2 linked regions of the Astyanax mexicanus genome follow. Each later gene encodes a partner of the first gene's protein in a complex. Links are inferred from orthologs where the notes say so. Each region holds a gene or a part of one and is shown in the gene's direction. Other genes may lie near its edges.

Evidence for each region.
Region 2: ribosome quality control complex subunit NEMF (region 1) and tcf25 share a complex: the UniProt entries of both Homo sapiens proteins name them as parts of the ribosome quality control complex. The link is inferred for Astyanax mexicanus from reciprocal best matches to the Homo sapiens genes NEMF and TCF25.

Annotation. Positions count from the first base shown.
Region 1 is NC_064421.1:45,012,263-45,019,947, forward strand, and holds the start of ribosome quality control complex subunit NEMF, read left to right. Parts: upstream 1-4,665; 5' UTR 4,666-4,772; coding exon 4,773-4,831; intron 4,832-5,980; coding exon 5,981-6,049; intron 6,050-6,153; coding exon 6,154-6,256; intron 6,257-6,355; coding exon 6,356-6,481; intron 6,482-7,200; coding exon 7,201-7,349; intron 7,350-7,685. Other genes in the region: MAPK/MAK/MRK overlapping kinase, read right to left, coding at 2,618-2,687. UniProt on the Homo sapiens protein: Key component of the ribosome quality control complex (RQC), a ribosome-associated complex that mediates the extraction of incompletely synthesized nascent chains from stalled ribosomes as well as their ubiquitin-mediated proteasomal degradation.
Region 2 is NC_064416.1:13,274,586-13,282,059, reverse strand, and holds the start of tcf25 (transcription factor 25), read left to right. Parts: upstream 1-4,223; 5' UTR 4,224-4,317; coding exon 4,318-4,530; intron 4,531-6,058; coding exon 6,059-6,175; intron 6,176-6,412; coding exon 6,413-6,484; intron 6,485-6,609; coding exon 6,610-6,737; intron 6,738-6,849; coding exon 6,850-6,915; intron 6,916-7,035; coding exon 7,036-7,118; intron 7,119-7,474. Other genes in the region: gas8 (dynein regulatory complex subunit 4), read right to left, coding at 73-278, 730-784, 907-1,113, 1,210-1,407, 2,756-2,848, 3,045-3,047. UniProt on the Homo sapiens protein: Component of the ribosome quality control complex (RQC), a ribosome-associated complex that mediates ubiquitination and extraction of incompletely synthesized nascent chains for proteasomal degradation.

The DNA of each region.
Region 1 (7,685 bases):
CTGGAACATACGGAGCCCGGGAGGGGCCGTGGATAAAAAAAATATTAAAATCGAGTGAACGATGTAGCAGTTCGTGCTCACGTTTTCTTTAATTCGAGTGAACGATTTGCAATTCGTGCTCACGATTTCTTTAATTCGTGCTCACGATTTCTGTAATTCGTGCGCACGATTTCTGTAATTCGAGTGAACGATTTCTGTAATTCGTGCTCACGTTTTTATGCGCAATAAGACAAGAAGCTCGGAGGGAAAGGAGCATTTTCTCTCTTGATCTGTTACAGGGGTGCAGTAATGATAATCAGTTATCTACCTTTATAACCTGCTGTTATTAATGCACTAGTGTTACAGTTAGATGTACAGTACAGTGAGCAGATTTTGCCTGGTGGTGGAATCTCTACAGCGCGTGGGGGAGAGCCGTCCGCGGCATCGGTTCCCCCGCCGCCAGACACCTGCCGCGCGCGCAGGTCTTCACGGAGCTTATTTACCAACAATGTAGACAAATACAGTCAATTCCAGTCATGATTAAAGGAAACAAACATTACTAATGCAGGATAACTGTGTGTTATTAAAACCAGATCAAAACAAAGTTATAATGCAATGTGGAACTGTTTATAATTTCTTATTTTCAACAATAGTATAACGTAAAGAAGTATAATTATATAAATATACAGCTATAAGACTTAGGTCCAAATGTACACTGTAAAAGTTAATAAAGATAATACAAAATTAATGCAAGGTGTGACAGTTGTCTATGAATGGCTCATATAAGAGCTGCTTTAAATATGTAACACTATATAAAATCAAAATAGCTGGTCTAAAATACTATTAATACAATGTATTAAGATATTTAGTAAATAGGCATTTCATATAATAATTTGGATCAATTTGATAATTTATTCCAATATGTTTCCTAAAATAATTAAGTTTCTATATCTGATGAAATGTCCTGAATATCTGCTTATTCTCAAATCACAGTGTCCTGCCCAGAAACATGCCACAAGCTTCAAATAAAAAAAATATAATAATTATAAACTTCTTAAATGTATATTTTCTGAATTATGTGTTTATTTATTATACAAATTATTAAAATATAGATTAAATCTATCATAAAAGTAATAATGATGTAACCAGATTTAAGAAGGTGTGCATTTCCTTGGAGGCTGGCTGAATGTTATTTAGAAATTAATAAACACATTTGCACATTGCATTATAACTTTGTTTTGATCTGGTTTTAATAACACACAGTTGTCCTGCATCAGTAAAATGTTTGTTTCCTTTATTCATGACTGGAATTGACTGTATTTGTCTACATTGTTGGTAAATAAGCTCCGTGAAGACCTGCGCGCGCGGCAGGTGTCTGGGGGCGGGGGAACCGATGCCGCGGACGGCTCTCCCCCACGCGCTGTAGAGATTCCACCACCAGGCAAAATCTGCTCACTGTACTGTACATCTAACTGTAACACTAGTGCATTAATAACAGCAGGTTATAAAGGTAGATAACTGATTATCATTACTGCACCCCTGTAACAGATCAAGAGAGAAAATGCTCCTTTCCCTCCGAGCTTCTTGTCTTATTGCGCATAAAAACGTGAGCACGAATTACAGAAATCGTTCACTCGAATTACAGAAATCGTGCGCACGAATTACAGAAATCGTGAGCACGAATTAAAGAAATCGTGAGCACGAATTGCAAATCGTTCACTCGAATTAAAGAAAACGTGAGCACGAACTGCTACATCGTTCACTCGATTTTATTATTTTTTTTATCCACGGCCCCTCCCGGGCTCCGTAGGAACACCTAAATATTTTTTTTTTTTTTTGGGATTTGGACTTTTATGATTGAATACTTTTGGCAATATAGCTAACCTAACGCTAGGTAATTAACGTTAGTTAGCTAGGTGATGCCCTATAGTATGCTATAGCTAGCATTCATGAGCGAATACTTATTTACCCGTTCAGGTAACTTTAGGTTAGTTAGAAAAAGCTAGCAGGGTGCTCACAAAAATATATACGATAATACTCAACATATTTGCTTATTTTTTCAACAGTTAGTGAACACTTTTAGTAACTATATAACTTAGTTAAATAACTTAACTAACTTACTATCCATTCTTTAGCGCTGACACGGGTCGGAGAAGCAGCCGCAAAAAAGGACGGTTTCTTAGCGCACACATAGTTAACGACGCTTACATTCTTCAGGATATTTAACCTCAGTAAATAATCATAATAGCGTTCTCTTTTCGACTATTAAAACAACTTCTTTGCGCTGGGTTCGCGCTGACTCCCCGCCACCGCCATGTTAGCTTGTTAGCTTAGCTTAGCATTCGCTTAGCTAGGTCGCTACTGTCGCCCTGGTAACGGGGCACGCGCCCGGCCTCCACTCTGACCTGAGGTGAGCCGAGTCAAAGGAGCCGAGTGACTCAGTGAGACTTATACACACACACCTCTCACAGACACAAACAGGGGGTTTTATCTTTATTTTTTAACAAGGATTAATAGAAAACAGCTCGCGTAGGCCGCTCGAAGGACGCTACAGCAGGCCGTGGTTCGTTTTCTGAGAACAACACGCCCGCTGCTGTTAAAGGGCAGCGGGTGATATTAGGGTTAGTGAGCGACTCACCTCTCAGAGCGAGGGAGCTGCTGAGCGCCTGATCCGACTCCCACTGCTTCTTCTTCTCCACCACCTCCATCAGATCCAGCACAATCGAGATGATCAATAGACCAAATACACGGGCAAATTCTTTTTTTCGACCTCTAGCTGCATGTCTGTGCTGTAATACTGTAAGAAAAATACTACTCCTTCCGTTAAATTCCGTTTAATGAGAGAAATCTCAACTTTTCTCTTTCAGCTCTCCATCACCACAATTGAATAAACTGCATTTTATTATTAGCACGATCTGATATAAGTTATTGTAATAGTGATTTAACCTTGTAAGCGAACAATGCACGTTTCTTCCCTATAGGGTTAGTAAACCTAGCTCATTTACTGGTGGTTTGAGCTGGCTATTTGTAATTATTTATCTAGCTTCTAATAACCAACATGGCAGATGGCAAATCTTTCTCAAATATCAAAACCAATTCATATCTCATAAAAGAAAAAAAAATACGACCTGTATAAATTCCGCCGTTGTTAACATGCTGCACAGCATCATGAAAAGTCCATAGCTACCAGAGCCGGTTTATGCAGAGCATGCCCACTTTGACAGCAAACCGATAGGGGGAGCCCGCGAGTGAGTCCTTAATAAATGGGGTGAATGGAGCTAAACGGATAAAAACTCTAATTAAAAATAGTAATTTACTACTTATTCGAAATACTCATTTAATTTTAGAAATTCGAATAAAGTATTCCGCTAAAAAGTAAAGAAAACATAGCTATATATTAAAAAAAAAATCAACAGCAAACTGTTTTAGGCAGAGGCAAACACGCTAGCGTTACTGCTACTACTGTGTGCTGACTGGTTGGCAGAGATGTATAAAGCACTAGAGAACCAGACATGAGTAAAAGTACTATAATACTCAATAATGACTTGAGCACCACCATTTAAGTACGTGGAAGTACTAAAGTATTTAACATTTTTGTACCTAAGTATTTAAACAAGTAGATTTATTCTTAAATGTACTACTCAAGTACTGGAGGTAAAAGTACAAAGCGTTTTTAAAAAGCTCATAACTGGAGTTTAAACGCATTTAAATGTGGTACTAAAACATTTAATAATGTTCTGTGCTGAGAAATTAGTGTATTTTCCAGGGCAAAATTACCAAATATTTCATATGGTCCATGTGAACCCATTCATTTTGAACGTACTTGGGAGCGCCCTCTAAAGGCTTAACATTTTAATGCACAACATTGGTCAAACGAGTTTTATTTTTTTTATTTTTCCTATATCTTTGCAATAAATTACATGTATATTTTTTTTCATAATACATCCTCGTTTTTACATTCTTACTTTTTAAATAAAAACTCTATTTGTGTCAATACCCCCCAATGCACAACATGGGTTATATCATGGCCCACATTCATTTTCTATGTTACTTTATGTATGGCTATTCTTCCAGAGTCCAGCGAGAATAGGACTGCCTACTTAATTAACATACAAATGCAGAAATACATAAATAAATAAATTAAGACATATGAAAATAAATAAATGTAGAAATGTTTAAATAAATAAATGCAGAAATAAACAAATGTCTATGTATACACATATTACATGCTATGTTCACACGGTCACAGAGGTTTTTGTTCTTTTTCAGGATTTTAACAGCCTGATGTATTGTTTCTTAAGTCTATATTTAATAATAAAATAATTAATTTTTATTGTATGCTCTCGTTATTGTTTTATTTTATCTACTCTATTCAAGTATAAATTGAACTTGGAGCGTCTTTTTGTGTTTGTTTGTTTTTTTAATCAGAGCGTTTGCACAGCGTTGTGCTATGTGTCTTTTTAACGTAAAAAGCCAGTGTTTTCAGCCTCGTTCATGCATGGAAATAGATTCTTGATACCTTTTTAAATGTGTACTTTTTCATGACAAATTTTATTTATTTATGTATGTAATTTTTCGTCCTCCAAATTCACTTGTTACCGTTCTACTTCTACACACAATCCGAAACTTACTTCGACTTTTTTTTGACCACATGCGTTGGAGCAAAAAACAAACAGGCTTCCGTAGGGTATGACACGCATGCGCAGTGGCAGTCTTGTGCTGTGTGTGGTGTTGAGTCTCCGGAGAAGAGCAGATGAGAAGAAGTGTAACCTGTGTTTTTTCTTTCTGACAGGATGAAAAGCAGGTTTAACACAGTGGATATCAGAGCAGTGATCTCTGAAATTAACGCCAAGTAAGGACTGAATTCTGCTGCTGTATTCTGAATTCTGCACACAGGGAGAGGGAGTGGGGAGCTGGGTATTGCTAATTAATGTAGGCAGACATTAAACCTGTGCTGCTTCATGTGCTTCATTTCATCACTCTTTAAAAGATTGTAAATGTTCTGCATTATTTTTATATAAGTTTAGGTCAGAGAAACCTGACAGCTGTGTGTCAGCAGTCTATGGCTGCTGTTTTCTTCCTTGTCTCGCACATTAAAACCAGTTTTATAAAGTTACTCTGTAAATGTAACTTACTGATTTGTCAATGATTAATTTTGCTGTCGTATTGTTTAATGAAATTATGCTTCATTAATTAGATTTCATTAAACGTCACTGCTATTAAGAAGGTACACTTAAGTACAAGAATTTAACTAGATGTGCAAAATTGTGACCAATGACCATAGCTATAAATAAGTGCAAATATGATATCAGTCAGCTTTTATTTCCTGTCGGTAATACATTGAGGGTAACCCTCATTTTGAATGCAACAAATAATAAAATTATAAATAAAGAAGAAATATAATAATTCAGAACAAAAAGATATGCAGACAGGCTAAGATGTAAAGCAATAAAATAAAGAGATAAATAATTAGCATACTAAAATATAAACACAAATAGAGGACTAAAATAACACCAAAATAGTAAGTAAATACAGTAATAAAACGTATGAAAGGATTCATTTAATAAAATAAATAAAATGGCTTAAAGGAAAACCTGATTATATTCCATAGATTTTTAATTTGGTAAAATCAAAGAAACTCATCATTTTTGGGTGGTCTATTTTTTCCCAGAGCTGTGTGTATAATATATTTACAATAACATTAAGTTACAAACTAAATACAAATGCTAGCTTAAAATGTATATTTATTTGTTATCTATTTTATCTTATTTTCATTTAATTCATGAGCTGGAATAGGAAGGTGCAATAATTGTAAAAGTCAGTTTCCATACAAATCTTCATTAAATGCCAAATGCCATTAAACCCATTCTCATCCACTCTTGTTCATTTATTTCTCTAGTGAATTTAGACTGCATAAGCAAGATAAATGTGCTCATAATCATTGAATGGTATGAGTGGGTTTAAAAATCATTAAAAAAATATATATTTTTATTCTCCTCAGCTATGTCGGGATGCGAGTGTACAATGTCTATGACATTGACAACAAGACCTATCTCATACGACTCCAGAAGTAAGTGATCCAGTACAGCCAGTATTGTTATTGAGTGTTGGTAGTGAGCATGTTTAAATCTGATTCCATGAGATAATCATTTCCAAAATTCTTTTCTTTTTCAGGCCGGACAGTAAAGCAGTATTACTGATTGAGTCTGGAATACGAATTCACTCCACAGAGTTTGAATGGCCCAAAAATCTCATGCCCTCCGGTTTTGCCATGAAAGTAAGCATGTTGGATTTTAGTACAGGGATCACCTATTAGTTATTTGTACTACAAATGAAATATATTGCATTTGTTTCAATTATTTATATTCATTTTTAGTGCCGAAAGCATCTGAAGTCAAGAAGACTGGCGCATGTGAAGCAGCTTGGTGTGGACAGAATCGTGGACATTCAATTTGGGTCAGACGAAGCTGCATACCATCTCATAGTTGAGTTGTATGACAGGGTAAGCAAACTTGGGATTTTTTCCAAACAATTATCTCCAAAAAAAAAAAAAAAACTATTTATAGTTGCAGTCTAAATGCTTTCATTTTAGAAAGTGTTTAAATCATAACTGGCTGTATAAATTTTATAATATCAATGAAAAATTACTTTATTTCAGTAATTCAGTTCAAAATGTGAAACTCATATATTATATAGACGTATTACACACAGAGTGATCTATTTTGAGTGTTTATTTATTTTATTGTTGATGATTATGGCTTACAGCCAATAAAAACTCAAAAATCACTATCTCAGAAAATAGAATATTATATGAGTACTTTTGGTACTTTTGGTAGTGTGGGCAGTGTGCCAAATCCTGCTGGAAAATGAAATCTGCATCTCTATAAAAGTTGTCAGTAGCAGAGGGAAGCATGAAGAAGTGCTGTAAGATTTTGTGAGATAACAAAACTGCACTGACTTTAGACTTGATAATAAAACACAGTGGATCAACACCAGCAGATAATATTTGATATGTAATATATGAATTTTACATTTTGAACTGAATTACTGAAATAAACCAACTTTTCAATGATATTCTATCTTTTTGAAATTCAGAAGTGTAATATTTTACACAATTTTTTCACAACTAAACTTTACATTACTTTTTACATTTACAACAAATAAAGCCTTTTTTCATTTTATACTAAGATCCACTTTAACTTGTGTGTTTTGCATTTACAGGGAAATATAATCCTAACAGACCACGAGTACACCATACTGAACCTGTTGCGCTTTCGCACTGATGAGGCAGAGGACGTGAAGATTGCAGTGAGGGAACGCTACCCTGTGGAGAATGCCCGGCCTCCTGAACCCCTCATCAGCCTGGAAAGGTAAGTCCATGGTAAATCATTTAAAGTAATGGTGGCCATTTATTGCAGATCTTGGCACTGTTACAACTAGAGATGCTCAATTATATCATAATTATAACAATATGGATTAAATGCTGCAAAAGGACAAACTGGCCACATTAATTAATTGAAAAAAGAAATTTGTAACAGAAGTCAATGGTCTAGAATGTCATGGTACTACTAATCATGCACTCCAAATATCTCCATATATTACATTACATTACATTACATACATTACATTATCCAGGATTATAGTAAAATAAATTATACTGGACAGATATAATCTGTCTCTAGTAGATATATAATAAGAAATGAGAA
Region 2 (7,474 bases), on another chromosome or scaffold:
GAGGAGAATTCATTAAGAATTATAGTGGTTTAATCAATAGCAAACACTAGGTTATATCAGACACAGGCATACCTTGAGTGTACTGATGAGGGCTAGGTTGTTGGAAGTGATATCATTGTAATAGGTCTTAATGTCACTGAAAGCTTTCTCATGGTTTTGTATCAGTGTGTTAATGTGGCAGTTCTTCCTTTCTTCTATTTCCTCGATTTCAGTCTTGCGTCTGAGATCCTGCTCCTGGCGCAGAGCCAGCATTTTCTTTTCATATTTAGCCTCTATTTCTGCAAGAGAAAACAAAATAGCATAATTTACACTACTGGTCAAAAGTATGAGAACAGTTAGACCCTAAATGTTTTCAGTAGTCCAAGTGATCAAACCTCTAAAACTTAAGTGTCTTTTTTTAGTCATAATGAGTAATGAGCGATCTGAATGTAGAGTGTTGTGTAAATACTGTGGTAGTGAAACACTGTTGTTTGTTCCAACACTGTTTTTATACAGAGAAAGGGACTGTAAATAGTAAATTGTTTGCATTAAATTTGCATCAGGGTTAATTTACTTCCAATGCAACAGATCTGCTCTAAGTTGTTGACAGGTTTATTCACTTGATTAAAAAATCCTTTAATTAGTAAATGATTTGACCAGTAGTACATTATGTAAAAGAGAGATATAGCCTGTAACATTACAATATTTACTCTAATATAAAAGCAAATAAAAAAGGGTGAGATACATCACCTCGTACTTGTCGTTCAAAATCATTCCTGATCTTGGTAATTTCCTCATCATGTTTCTGGGAAAAGAAGGTATGATTAGTAACTGCATAGCATTAACTAAAAAAGAGTCCACATCTTATCAGCCTAAAGTCTATCAACACTGACTGTCATGTTAGCTGTAAGCTGAGCATTCACACACCAGTTTAAGACTCTTGATCAGATTTTCACTGGAAAGCTCCTGTTCCTTGATATCCACTTTTAGATTCCGAATGCCCTTCCGCAGATCATTCTCCAGGTCTGCATGTTCCTTCTGCAGCAGTTTGGTGGTGACCACTCCCTCTGTCTTGAGCTCTGCGATGCTGTTCTGCTGTTCATACAGCAAGTGTTTCACCTTCTGTTTGTACACCTGAATAACAGAACGAACACCGTTAGATCATTCATGATAGATCTAAACTTTTTCAGTGTTTCATGTGCCAGAGCTTCTCATTATCATTCTTGATACCTTGATCTCAACTTGATGGCGTTCCTCAGCCTCTTCCATTTCCCGATCCCTGTTCCTGAGATCTGCTTTCTTTTCCTCCAGCTGTCTTTTGGTGATCTCCCAGAAGGTGTGGATCTTATCTCGTTCCAGTTGGAAGTAGTTGCGCTCTTCCCTCTCCCTGTCCAGCTCTTCACGCAAGCGGACAATGTGGTCCTCCAACTAATGAAGAATGAAGATAATGACGTAGTTTTAGTTTTAATACTTGGCATCAGTGTGCTTCCTGCAAAGCCACATATATTCATTCTAAAAACAGGGTGTCTGGTAGGTCATAGAACATGAACAACCATAGTGCTAATAATGATGTTGATACAAAAAACTATTGTGAATGTAACGATATCAGAACAGCAAACACAGTCTTTATCAGCTCATTCAGATCTCACTAAACCAAAGAAACACAGAAATAGACCAGGAGAGAACTGGTGAATTAAGGAGAGTGCAAACAGTCACCAGTTTCGCTAACTCTGGTAAAAAGACTTTGCCTAAAATGCACATTTTAAAAGTACTTTTAGCATGCTCAGTGCAAATTCACATCCTCACCAGAACCTATGGACTGTCACTTTAAAGTCAATATACAATATATGGACAACTGCTTATTTTATTATTATAAATAGAGTTCATAGAGCTTTTGTTGGAGTAAATGTCTCGACTGTCCAGGGAAGGCTTTATTATAGATTTTGGATCATTGCTGTTGGGATTTTATTGCATTTAGCCACAATCGTGTTAGTGAGAACAGGATATTGGATGATCACCACCCAGAAGTGTCATATTACACAGTATACATGATTTGTTACCTTACTTGAGTAGAAATGTTGGTTATCTATACTTTACTGGAGTAATTATTTTAAGATGACTTGTAACTTCTACTCCTTCATTTTCACATAATTATCTGTACTTTCTACTCATCACAATTTCACACATTTATCTGTTTTTCTACTCCTCACATTTTCACACTACTATCTGTACTTTCTACTCCTCACATTTTCACACTACTATCTGTACTTTCTACTCCTCACATTTTCACACTACTATCTGTACTTTCTACTCCTTTCATTTAAAAAAATGTGCATTTAAATGCATTTTCCCCTAACATTACTCTTACTTAGATACTTTAAGCAGTTTTGAAACAAGTATTTTTACACTTTTACTTGATTAAAAATAAGTATTTTTAAACAGAAGTATTTTTAAACCCTTGTATCTATACTTATACTTGAATATTAAATGTGAATACTTTTCACACCTTTGTACAGTAACCCACCTCACCCCCATCTCAACAACTCACCACCCTAGAAGTGCTAAATGGAGAACCATCATTCCTAAAAACTCAGTTCCATTGCTCCACAGGGGGGGCAACATGCGTTTAGAATTTCTGTCTCATTGTTGTTGGAACCTTAAAAACAAACTATAAAGCTTTAGTAGCCTTTGAATCTGCTGGAAACCTGTTAGATAATTATCACTGAAGACACAAACAGTAATAATGACATTATAACTGGCTAAAATATTAGTTTACCTGCTCCTTCGACATTTCCTCTGTGGAAAGTCCATCCACCACTGTAGGGCTCTTCTTGCCCTTCGCAGTCTTCCCTCCTTTCTTTTTTGGAGGCTGAAATATGAACATTTGGAGAGGATAATGTTACAAATACCCATTCTCACTGCATTACCGCACATTAATGATGTACTGTTAGTCTATACAGCTTTAACTAACTCTCTGGTTAGATAGCTCCTCCACTAGCTATACCGATATATAACCTATATAACGTTAGCTAACTAACAAATTAACGCTGTTAAATCACACTTACCATGCTGTATGTGTGTAAAGTAGCTAGTACTGGTCAGTCAGATGAGGGCAGTGTGTATTCGGGTGTTTCTGCAGAGAAACTGTACAGATATTCTCGTGATTTAGCTTTAGATAGTTTAGCTACAGCTCTCCTGTGCTGATGGTCTGCAAACAACAAACCAGATCCATGGAAACCAGTTCAGATCTCGCGAGAATAGAAATGAGTCGCTGCAGCGTGGAGCTGCCCTGCAGACTCTCCACACTCACTCAGTAAATATTCCCAAGCAGAAAGTGTTTGTTGTTTTTTTAAGCAATGCGAGGAATCTTTAATCATTTATTCTTATTTATACTACGAAAAAAGGACGATATATATTATGAACATGTAATTATTATGTTTATTCTTTTTGCTTTAATAATAATAATTTAATATTTTTCTTCTGTAATAATTTTACCCCTATCCTTCTTCACTGTTATGTTAGTGTTATTTTTACTTACTCAGATTTTACATTTGGGGTTATGTTCTTTTTTTTGTTGTTCTAATTAATGATCTCTTACTTTGACTGCTTTTATTTAGTGAATTGTTTTATTTTAGCTTGTCCAACTTTTAAATAATTTTAATTCTTTAAAAATGAAATCTAATTAAATATTAATTAGGTTAGTTGATTTTTTAATGCTTTTACATTTTTATATATATATATATATATAAAATATAAATAAAATCAAGTTTTAATTAGGTTAAACTAACATAATAAAATACAAAACAAAACAATACAAAATATACATATATATTCAACAAAACAAAAGTTATAAAGATTCTTTAAAGCTCTCTTCTACTAAATGCAATTATTTTTTCTTAATGAATATAATTATAGTGATTTGACTTTATATTTACTTTGTAATAGATACCATTATTCCGAACTTTTATTTATTCAGACCTAAATAATTATTATTACTTACTGGAAATTTTTGGACAAATTAAAAATAGAAAAAAACATAAATCCTTCGATATTTTAAATTAATTTGAATCCCACTTTTTTCTGTTTATTTTGTTTGTCTATTTATGTTTTTGTTTTGATGTGCTTGAGATGTTGGTTGTAAAAATACTTAAAAAAAAGTTTTCTGGTTGTATTAACATGTGGGACTTTTATTTGTTTTCCGGTAGTGACAGTGACAGCGTTTCCGTACTGCTGTCCAATCAGGAGGCGTGTTGTTGGGTCGCTGGTGGTGCTGGTTATGGTGGGGTCTCAGTTGGGCGCAGCTGCTGCAGATCCGCTGGTTTTAGGGAGTTTGTGAAGATGTCGAGCCGCGCGCTGCGCAGACTGAAGGGGAAGCAGCGCGGCCAGGAGGACCTGGACCTCGCGGAGCTGCGGGTGGAGGAGGAGGAGGAGGCGGCGCGGGAGGGAGAGGAGTTAGAGGAGCAGGAGGAGGTTCTGCAGCCGGTCAGAGGAGCAGGCAGGAAAACCAAGAGGAGCAAATCTCAGAAGAACATTAGCAACATTTATGAACTGGTCAGAACTTTAATAACACTGAACAGCTAAAGACTGATACAGACTGACTGCTGATAACCAGAGTTCTTACTAATACAATAAAACTCAAATTCAGGATCTCTGTAATGCTAAACCTTCTTATTCCAGATATAAACAAACTTATGAAACTCCACACTGACCAGCCATACTCCCAGAATCTCCTATTATCATCATCAATATAACCAGTAATACTGTTACTGTTATTATTAGTACTATTTGTTTACTTTAATCACTTCCTGGCATCTACAATTACATAACATGTACTTTTTAAGTCCAATTAAAGATATAGCTATAGAATTATAAACATTACTATACACAAATAAGAGACACGGTTGGTCCAGAAGATGAATATGATTGTATAGTAAATTCTTTCTTTTTTTAAACTCAGATGTCTGAGACAATCAAAAATACACCATTATGTCAAAATACACCATCAGTATTCTATTCTATTAAAAAATCCAGGTACACATATTAATTAATTAAAATATATTAGAACTCTGGATTTTATGGACATATTGTACAAGTCCTACTGGAAAATAAAATTCACACCTCCATAAAAGTTGTCAGCAGAGGGAAGCATGAAGTGCTGTAAGATTTTGTGGAAAAACAAAACTGCACTGACTTTAGACTTGATATAACACACAGTGGATCAACACCAGCAGATGACATGTCTCTCCAAACCATCACTGATTGTGGAAATGTCACACTAGACCTCAAGCAGTTTGGACTGTGTGTGTCTCCACTCTTCCAGCAGACTCTGATCCCTTGATTTCCAAATGAAATGTACAATTTACTGATGATCAGTGATGGTTTGAAAAGACATGTCATCTGCTGGTGTTGGTCAACTGTGTTATATCAAGTTTAAAGTCAGGGCAGTGTTTTCCCAGAAAATCTTACAGCACTTCATGCTTCCCTCTGCTGACAACTTTAATGGAGATGAGGATTTCATTTTCCAGTAGGACTTGGCACACTGTCCACACTTCCAAAAGTACCAATTGGTCTTATATAATATTCTGATTTTGACACTGATTTTTGGGTTTTCATTGGCTGTAAGCCATAATCATCAACAAAAAGAAATAAACACTTAATAGATCACCCTGTGTGTAATACATCTATATGATATATCAGTTTCACATTTTGAATTGAATTACTGAAATAAAGTAACTTTTCACTGATATTCTAATTTTTTGAGATGCACTAGTATTTTTGTAACTGAAGCTGTAAAAGGTAATTGTATATATGAGCAAATGAGAATCAATGGCATGATATGATTCAGATTGTATAAGGCATATGCTATCCTGGCAGTATATATTTATAGATCATTAGATCAGATATTTTTGATAGTAAATATTTCATAATTGATTTTCAAAGTTAGCACCTCTATTAGGATAACTGCATTACAGATATCTTGATTTTCTATCTTTGCTAATAAACATTGAGTGACTGCCTCTATCAGTTTATATAATTTTCTTAGCAGGGTGGATGTTTATTTGTTTCTGTGCTGTTACAGATTGGTGACCCTGACAATGATACAGACAAAAGTCCCACTGATGAGGAGAACGTGTTGACAGGGAGAAGCCATGGAGTACAAAAGCAAGAGTGCCAACCTGATATGGAGACCACAAAGGTTTAAAACTACATTACCATTAATTAAAAACGGACAAATAACTGTTAAATTCTTCTCTAAAGAGACTCAAGTCAACCCTTTAACATGCGTGGCAAAGTTAAGGCTTGTGTTAATTGCATTTTTTTGTTCTGACCTGAGATGCTGGTGCTCTGTATGACATCTAGTGGCAAATTTGATCACAAACAGAACCATTTAAACATAGCATTCCTATTCTTATCTTTTCTTTTTATTTTGTAGTCTGACTCTAACGAGAAAGTAAAAAAGAAAAAGAAGAAGAAGAAAAAAAAGACTGCTCCTGGGGATGTGCAGGTATGACATGCACTGTATATATTACATATCATATAAACTTGTGTAAAACAGAACATTTTAACACTGGAGGTTTTGCTTGTGTTTCTGTTCTTCCTCTTCTCTTACTATCTTCTAAATCTTCATAGGAGGAGTCCACTGCAGGGGATGACATTGACGCTCTGCTGGAGACCATAGAAAAGACCAATGGCCTTTCACACCAGAGTGAGGACAGTGGAGTCTCAGGCCATAGGCCTGTACTTTATGTGGAGCACAGGTGAAGGCTGTTTGTAGTTCTGAATGTTTGAAGGATGGCATACGTTTTGTTTTACAGTTTCAGAAATTGCTGCTGTTAACTTTTAACTTTTAACTTAACTTTTGTCTATTAGGAACCTGAATCCTGAGAATGAACTAAAGCGATATTTTGGAGCTCGGGCTGTTTTGGGAGACCAAAGGTTGGTTTGGTTTCTATTTTTCGATGTTTTTTAAGCATGCACATACATGTACTGTAAGACCGTCACTTTTTATTGTGGCTTGTTTTTTGGTTAATTTGTATGTGTGTTTTTTCCTTTCAGGCCCAGGCAACGACAGAGGCAGTTTCACAGAAGTACATGGATGACCGCACCTAAAGACACTTGGCCTCGCTTTAGTAAACCAGGTATGCCTGATATGCTTCCTGACAATGGCCTTCAGATTTTTTGGATTTGACCAGCAGGTGCAGTTCATGTTGAGCTGTACAGTATGACACTATTTCATAGTATCAACATTTGCTATTGTGATCTCCATAAAATCTGTCAGCAGAGGAAAACATAAATTGCTGTAAGATTTTCTGGGAAAACACTGCACTGACTTTGAGCTTGATAAAACACAGTGGATCAACACCAGCAGATGACATGTCTCTCCAAACCATCACTGATTGGTGGAAACTTCACTCTAGACCTCAAGCAGCTTGAACTGTGTGTCTCTCCACTCTTCCTCCAGACTCTGCTCCCTTCATTTACAAATGAAATGTGA